Caenorhabditis elegans: one gene and its partner. The protein of the gene in region 1 interacts with the protein of each later gene in a pairwise test. Each region holds a gene or a part of one and is shown in the gene's direction. Other genes may lie near its edges. The genes, in order: sec-22 and sid-5.

Region 1 (4,252 bases):
ACAGGCGAGGTAGGCGTGTAGAACCTGATCAGTTCATTAAAAAGCTTCAAGAAGTGATTGATCGTGGTATCGGTGCTTGAGAAATACGAGAGTTGACGTTCCCAATTGAATGAGCTCAAATGTGCATTCAGTTCCCGGAAGTTGCATTTTCGAAATAGAATGCGAGGCTCGGTTGAATCGCCAATCTTTTTGTTGGTTCGTCTCGTATGCATTTGAAGTGTGAACGATATCGAGAGGTGATCCGAGAGCAGAAAATTGGGGAGTAGAGTTGCATTGAAGGATTTGTACAACCACTGGGATTCCACTTGAACTGGGGTATGTTAAAATCACCGAGGATATAATGGCATTTGATGGTTGGACATATTAGTGATGAGATATTGGTGAAGAGACTAGAAGTTTGAGATTTAGTGGAATCAGGCGGTCTATAGACTATATCTGGAATTGGTGTGGGGATGGTCGAGGACTAAAATATCGCAGTGGTGGTTGCTGTAAAACTGACTGGAAAGAGAATCAGCAACATTTAAAACAATTGAGGGAGTGTAGAACACTACAACTTGTTGTTTAACCCAGAGCCACAAAAGAGCAAAAAGGAATTTTTGCCTTGAAGGAATTCCTACAAATAACCACAACAGAACAATTTCTCACCGTTTATCCTCTTTTTAGTGGGTTTCTCAGTTGGAAGTGGAAGTTTCGTGCCCTTGAGTGCTGCTTCAGCGGACGCTTGTTGTGCTCTTTTGATTGATGTTCCGCTTCCTGAACAAATTTTATGAAAATTTAGCTTTTTTTCTAGAAAATTTTACCCTCAAATGTCTCAGCTTCAGTCAAAACTAGCTTCACCGTGAACAATTTCTTGTGAGCCGGCCCACTTTCGTCTTGCAAATTGTAAACGTGCCGCAGCTTGTTGAATCGAGCTATCTGGAATTTTTATTTTATGAACGCAAAGTTTGAATCTGGAATTTTGTTACCTCTGCCACTCTACACATTGCCGACTTCTCCTTCTCTTTTGCATTTGTGTAGTCATAGAAATTCGTCGGCGAGTCTGCCTCGAATTTGTGTTGACCGCACCAATGTTGGGGATGCAGGCGTTCTGGTTTTTGCTCCGACTGAAATTGATGAGAGTTTTTTCCAGCAGTGCTTCAGAATTAGAAAATTGCAATTTTTGAAATTATTGAAATTTTACAGCTTTCCAAAAAGTACTGACTTTCCAAAAAAAATGTTTTTTTTGCAAAATATAAATTCTTGTTCAAAAAATATGTGCAACAGCTTAATGTTTCTTTGTAAAATTCGTTGTTTTTTTAAAAACATTTTTGGATGTTTTAAGGGAACCGATATCTCAGTATTTTATAAAATTTTAAAAGAATACAAAAATTAAAATTAAAAATTTCAAAACCAAAACCAAAATTCAAACAAAATTGAACAATTTCGTAAAATTTCAGTACTAAGTGAATATCTTAATAGCTATCAAAATGGCTCACATTTTGTTAAACGACATTGTTAAAAGAAAACTTAAGTAGGACAATTTTTGAATGGCCGGTAGTTTTTTTTTTTGAATATACCATCCTCGTGAATAGTTTGATTGGCCATTTTTTCCAGAGTTGAAGTTTTTTTAGATTTAGCATAGGTATTTTATTGATTTTTGCATTTTTTTTTTCAAACCAAAAAACTTACTTTCTCCGCAGAAATCGATGCATTTTCCAAAGTATCTGCCAGATCCGTAGTCGTCTCCTGTACTATCATCACTCCATCCATCTTCTGTGTGAGCGTTGTTTCAAATACAGCCTGCATTGGGACAGAGGAGGTAATCAATACATTTGGATGCACATCCCACAACACATACACACACTGTGTTCTCTTCTCTTGCAGGGCAATTGAAGGGCTGGCCAGTGGAGCGCGGTTGCGTAGCTGCGGCGGCTACGTGGTTAACAGACGTTGCCCTTTTCCTTTCAATGCGTATTTCACCATCGTTTTTTGCATTTTTTTTATGGAATTCGAATGTTGTTTTTGGATTTTTCAAGTTACGATTTAAAAATTTAATTTTCGTAATTAAAACTTTCAATGTTTTTGAAAACATGTCCGATTTAATCCAACTTTTCGCATTTTCCAACAAATTGCAAAATAATTTCTTCTATTAAGTTTTTATTTTCAGAGTAATGGAGCTAACGCTAATTGCCCGTGTACGAGACGGCCTTATTTTGGCCACATCGATTGAAGGAAACAATGACGGCAGTGTAAGTTGCCATTTTTCATTTTCAAGTTAATTTTCAGAAAACATGTTTCAGGGCGACTCAAGTATGGTGAAATACTCGAATCAAGCAAAAATGCTCTTCAAGAAGCTGAATGGGGCTCCAGCACAGCAAAGTGTAGAGTCAGGACCATTTGTTTTTCAGTGAGTTTTTGAATTTTAAACTCTAAAAAAAACATTTTGCTCAATATAAACATTTGATTCATTCCAGCTACATAATCGTCCAAAACATTTGCGCCCTGGTCCTCTGTGATAGGAATTTCCCGCGTAAAGTTGCCTTCCAGTACCTCAGTGACATTGGCCAAGAGTTTCTAAACGAGAACAGTTCGAGAATCGAGCAAGTCGTTCGTCCATACCATTTCCTCGAATTTGGTAGGTCAATAAAGTTTTGAAAATTTGCAACTGCGACGTGCTTCAGACAAATACATCCAACAAGCTAAACAAAGATATGGAGACACCAACAAACACGCAATGAATACGGTATCCAATGAGCTCCAGGACGTCACAAGAATTATGGTCACTAATATCGAAGATGTCATTCATCGAGGAGAAGCTTTGAATAGTGAGTTGATTTTCTTCCTGAAAAATTCAGCTTTTCTCTAACTAATAACTATGTTTGGACCTTGCATTTATCGACCTTGGTCAGTGCGCTAGATGATTTTGTCACTGCACCACACATTTTTTTTAGCTTATAAACGTTTTTTTCCCGATAAGTGATTTTTCAAATATGTTGTATTTAGTAGTACAATTCAGTATTGTTTGGAAATTTTAATAATTTTTAAGCCAGTCGCCACGTTTGGACAACTCACTATTTGAAACTGTTCACAATTTTGATTGGTGTTTTTGAAAATTTACTTTTTTACTTTTTAACTTTAACAAATAATTAAGCTTATTAATGTTTTGTTTTTTTTTATTGAAAAAAGTAGATAATCAAAAAGAAAAAAAGAAACGTTTTTTTGCACGTACATTCCTTTTGGTCAGTGCATTTTATATTTTCTGGTCAGTGCATTTTATATTTTTTGGTCAGTGCATTTTAAATTGGGTCATTGATAAGTCGCGGAAAAAATAAGTGGTCATTCGATTGCAAACTCTCTCAATTTTCAGTTCTGGAAAACCGAGCATCCGAATTGTCTGGAATGAGCAAAAAATACAGGGATGACGCGAAAGCCCTGAATCGACGATCAACCATTTTCAAAGTAGCAGCCTCGATTGGAATTGCCGGAGTTCTTTTCCTCATGCTCCGCTTCATTTTCTTCTAGAATTACAAAATTACCTATTTATTTCTCAAACAAAAAAAGAATCCTGATGGGTGTTTTTCTTTTCTCGCTGCTAAATTATTGTGTTTTTCACCTTCCTTCCAAATCATACGAATACTGTGTTAAATGTATTTTATTTTTTTGAAATTTAATGAAAAAAATTACAAAAAAAACAATACAAGCACACATCAGATTTGCCGCGATTCAGCTGGAGTGAACGTTGTAGACTGAAAATTAAAGTTATATTTTTCAGGGTATTTGAAAACTTGCCTGTCCACCAATCCAGGCTTTATATTGTTGATCATTGCCATCTGTATTATGTTGAGCTTCAAACTTTGGCATAGAGGAAGAAGGGGCAGAACATGCTTTATCTAAATAATTATATTTTTTAATTGGAACTTTCAGATAAAAAATGTAACTGGTACAAATATTTGTAATGTTTGCGGAACTTTTTTTTTGGTGACCAGAAAATTGAATTCAAAATCTAGAAGTATTCGAAGTTTTTACCAGAAAAAAAACGTTACAAATATTTCACTTATAAAAACTATTGAAAAAAGGAGACTGATGGGCATTCACTGAAGCTGCTCACCAAAGCACTGACCAAGTTAACCAAACGCACTGACCAAACTTATCAAATGCACTGACCAAGTTTACCAAACGCACTGGCCAAAGTTATTTCTGCTCTGTTCAACCTTGTACTCAGTTGAGTTTTTATTTCTTACAAAATCTCACCTTCTTCAGATTTCTCTACATC
Region 2 (3,843 bases), 5.9 Mb from region 1:
TTCGCTCAAAACCGCTAACATTTCGACAAATTTGGAAAAAAGAAAAATACAGAAATGTTATTATTTTGTTTGGTTCTATCTGGGTAATGACCAATTTCACCGCAACTATGTTGGATTTTTCGGAAGTTATAATTTTTCACAACAATTTGATTCTCAGTCAGATGCTTCTTGCCGGAGTACCTGCCATTTGTAAAATTGTACGTATACATACTTGAAAATTATAAACTCAAAAATATGGTTCACAATTTTCAGCTTCTTGGTTTGGTAGAAATATATTTTGGAATTATTAGCCGTCGAAATCTTCATTTGATTTCTCTTTGTATAAACGGAATCTCCATGTGTGCATCCGGAGTGCTCATACTCTTTGGACTTCAAAAAAACTACCCAACAATTTATGTATTAGTGTTCCTTATTGGATACGCGTCAATCGAATTTATTTGGGATGCATGTTACCTGTAAGTGTGTAATTTCAAAAAAATAACTGAAGAGAGTGGGATTCGAACCCACGCCCCCGAAGGGACTGGTGCCTTAAACCAGCGCCTTAGACCGCTCGGCCATCTCTCCACATATTCGAGAGTAGTGTTTAACAATCAAGTGAGTGCTGTTAATAGAAAGAGGGTGGCGAGAGTACTTTCACACAATACACGTGCCTCTGCCGCAGTTGATGAGCAGATAGTTTCACCGAGTTTTGATGTTTTGTGAAAAAATTAAATACCTAATGTGAAATTCTATGTATGTTTTTAAAAATTGAACAAGATATTCTCAAATTTAAACATAACCGAACAAAAACTTTGATCGAAAATAATTGTTCTGCAGTTGCGTTGTGGAACAAGTTCCCACCGAAGTTCGAGGTACCATTAGTGGAGCATGCTCATTTCTGTCAAGACTTTCTGGAATACTGGCCTCCAAAATGGTTTGTTTGAACGTCATTCATTCAAAAATTGAGAATTCTTCTCAGACAATTGTGAAGCAAAGATGGGAACCCGCACCTCTTTTCATCGCTTTTGCCACCGCCATCATACATTTCTTAATTGCTTTTTTCTTTTTGAATGAAAGCAAAGACGCGAATTTGGGAGAAGTGAGTTTTTCGATAGGAAAAATAGTTGTATCGTAAAAATTACAGATCGGATTTACATTGCGAAGAATCAGTCAAAAAGTGTCACAGAAAATACACCAAATTAGGAATATGACAAAAAAGGAAAAACAACCATCAGAATCAACTGTTCCAGCGGTTTCTAAAATTAGGAAAAACGATATAAGCGGCCCTGTGTTGGCTGAAATACAATTGGGAGAAGGAAATAATGTTCCATAGAAGTTGGTCTTTTATTTGTGAACAATAAACAGTTACACGTTTTTTTTCCTGCAAATTGAAACACTATGTGGTTGAATTTGAGACAAAATACTCAAACTTCATTAAATTATTGATGCCACAAATCTAAAATAGCGATGAAGATAGTAAATAAGATAAGTTTTTAATGTTTTTGATAAAGTTTTTTGCCCTGATGAAGTGAAGTCTGGACAACGTAAATACAAACCTGCAACAAACCTCAGTCATCACCGCTCGATGAAATTTGTGAATCGCTATAATCGCTACAAAATATTATAATTGTAAATACATATAAATAAATTGAATTGCGAAATACTTCAGGCCCCGCCCGCCATTCCTCTTGCTAATGTTAAAAATGTGTGAAGCATGGGGAAGAAATGATGATTTGCTCATTTTATGCTCATTTTATATGCTCATTTCATAATTTTAATATAAACAAATATGGTTTGAAATAGTTATCTCTACACAATTTTTGTGATGTTCCAGCTTAAATTGTTTTTTTAAAATTAAATTACTGACAAAGTTTTAAAACATATTAAGAAAATAAAAAAAATTATCTGTAAAGGCAATTATGCATGTTAGTATACATATATATATAATTTATTAAATCGTCAACAATAAATTTGTCCAGTATATGATACAGCAAAACAACATATTCATCTTATTTCCCGCGTACTCCTCTCGGTCAATTGTGTTTTGTTCGACTGCCTGCGTCTCGTGTCTCTCACAACAGCCGTTTCTCTAACAGAAAAACCTTCTTTTGTTGATGTTTGTCTAAAATCGATTTTTTCAGCAAGAAATCGAGAAACTGGAACGATGCCCAGCAAAAACTGTGCCAAAAACCTTCACGCATGTCAATGGGAGAGAGACGTAAGAAATAAAACCGGTTTCAGCTGAATAACTTTTATTGTACAGATTGCTTTGGTATTTCTTGGACTAATGGTTCTTTTCAACATTGGACAAGTTGTGTACATGAACAGAGCACGACTCTACAGACTCATTCGTCGAGGAGCAGAACAAATTCCAGCTGATGATGAGGAGCCAATCATCGGAATTAGAGACTAGAGCTTTGGTAAGTTTTTGTTCCTCGAAGTGTAAATAATTGAGTAAAAGCTTTCTTATTGAAAAAAAAAACGAATGTTCAAATTATGAAGATTGAAAAATGATTTTTCTAAAACCAAATTAATTTCATTTTTTGAAATCTCAAATCCAATAATGTTTTAAACCATACTTTGTCTGATTGAAGATGGTGTTGTGAATATGGTTAACTAGTTTATTTGACGCTCTAAAATGCCAAACTTCGTGTTGGAATTTTCGCAAAATTTTTTTCGAGCTTGGATGTTGGTCTTAGCATTTTTTCCAGTCAGTATCAACAATATATCCAAATGTGCATTTATTGACTGATAACGTGTTTTAATAATAAAAACCAAAAAATTACACTATCTGAATTTGTTAATAAAAAAATATTTCTAAACCTCTGCGATACATGAAATGTGGCAAAATTTGAGATTTTAGCTAAAAACCTTTTTTTTTAATTTTTGATTTTCATCATTATGAAATTCGGTTTTTTAATGATTTTCTGAAAGTTTATTAATTCTCAAAAAATAGTTCCAAACTTTAATCGTATCAAAAAATTTCAGATTTGCCCACTTTCTTCGTACAACTTCTGCCAGCAATTATTTAACGAAAAAACTAAAACTTTGTTCATTCCGCGCTCAACTAAACCTCTTCGTTCAATTAATTAACAATCAACTTTTTTGGTATAATTGTCACATGCCTTGCATAGTTGTACTCTGTGATTCTCAACTTATCAGGATGATGTAATGCAAACTGATAATACCCGTTTTTTCTCTCTCCTGTCAATAAATCGTTGCTCTGATGCCACCTTGAACGTTGAGTTTCATGTCAAACGCACACAGGTCAATCCGTGGGTTGAATAGGAATTCGGGGCGTTTTGATTGTCCATCGCATTAAGAACAATGAGCCCGATATTGTAAATAATATCGACACGAGTTCTGTGCAGGCACAATAAATACATCCGAAATAGTTTGGAGAAATATTTATACATTTTTCATAAATTTCAGTTTTGAAAAACTACAAATTGAAATCGTTTGCGATGTGATTTTGCATTGTTTTTCCAAAAGAGACAATATAACGCAAATACTGTTTTGAAGTGAAGATTTTCTGTTTCTGTAAAGGAATTGCAAAGAACTTCTCGCGTGTGTAGCAACAAAAATACTGTTTAGCAAAATGTAATAATAGTCCGTTTTAGTATTGTGAAGCAATTTTTTGCGATTTTTTTTTCAATTTTGGGTGCAACTATCTTTTTTAATTTTAAGACATGCGTTGCTTAATTTCGACGTTTTTTTTTCTTGAGAATAGATTGAAAAATCTAACAAGAAAATTGTTAATATGCACTTCATTTGTGAAAAACACTGTATGTAAAAATTCTAAAATCACTTACTTTTTATGCATCAAAAAACTTGTGGAAATTACTTCGCTAGAAATTATTTTGA

What was found.
Region 2: the proteins of sec-22 (region 1) and sid-5 interact in a two-hybrid assay, tested with the Caenorhabditis elegans proteins (one study listed by BioGRID).

The regions. Positions count from the first base shown.
Region 1 is NC_003284.9:1,033,402-1,037,653, forward strand, and holds sec-22 (Vesicle-trafficking protein SEC22b), read left to right. Parts: upstream 1-2,146; 5' UTR 2,147-2,150; coding exon 2,151-2,228; intron 2,229-2,279; coding exon 2,280-2,386; intron 2,387-2,453; coding exon 2,454-2,614; intron 2,615-2,660; coding exon 2,661-2,804; intron 2,805-3,346; coding exon 3,347-3,501; 3' UTR 3,502-3,665; downstream 3,666-4,252. Other genes in the region: stau-1 (DRBM domain-containing protein), read right to left, coding at 646-753, 801-915, 966-1,103, 1,669-1,785; F55A4.7 (Ovule protein), read right to left, coding at 3,687-3,725, 3,769-3,869, 4,231-4,252.
Region 2 is NC_003284.9:6,902,632-6,906,474, forward strand, and holds sid-5 (Systemic RNA interference defective protein 5), read left to right. Parts: upstream 1-2,089; 5' UTR 2,090-2,143; coding exon 2,144-2,197; intron 2,198-2,242; coding exon 2,243-2,392; 3' UTR 2,393-2,399; intron 2,400-2,967; 3' UTR 2,968-3,218; downstream 3,219-3,843. Other genes in the region: pes-23 (Major facilitator superfamily (MFS) profile domain-containing protein), read left to right, coding at 1-197, 253-455, 817-913, 959-1,078, 1,124-1,312. UniProt on the Caenorhabditis elegans protein: Plays a role in RNA-mediated gene silencing by mediating transport of both ingested and endogenous dsRNA between cells. Not required for the uptake of dsRNA from the intestinal lumen.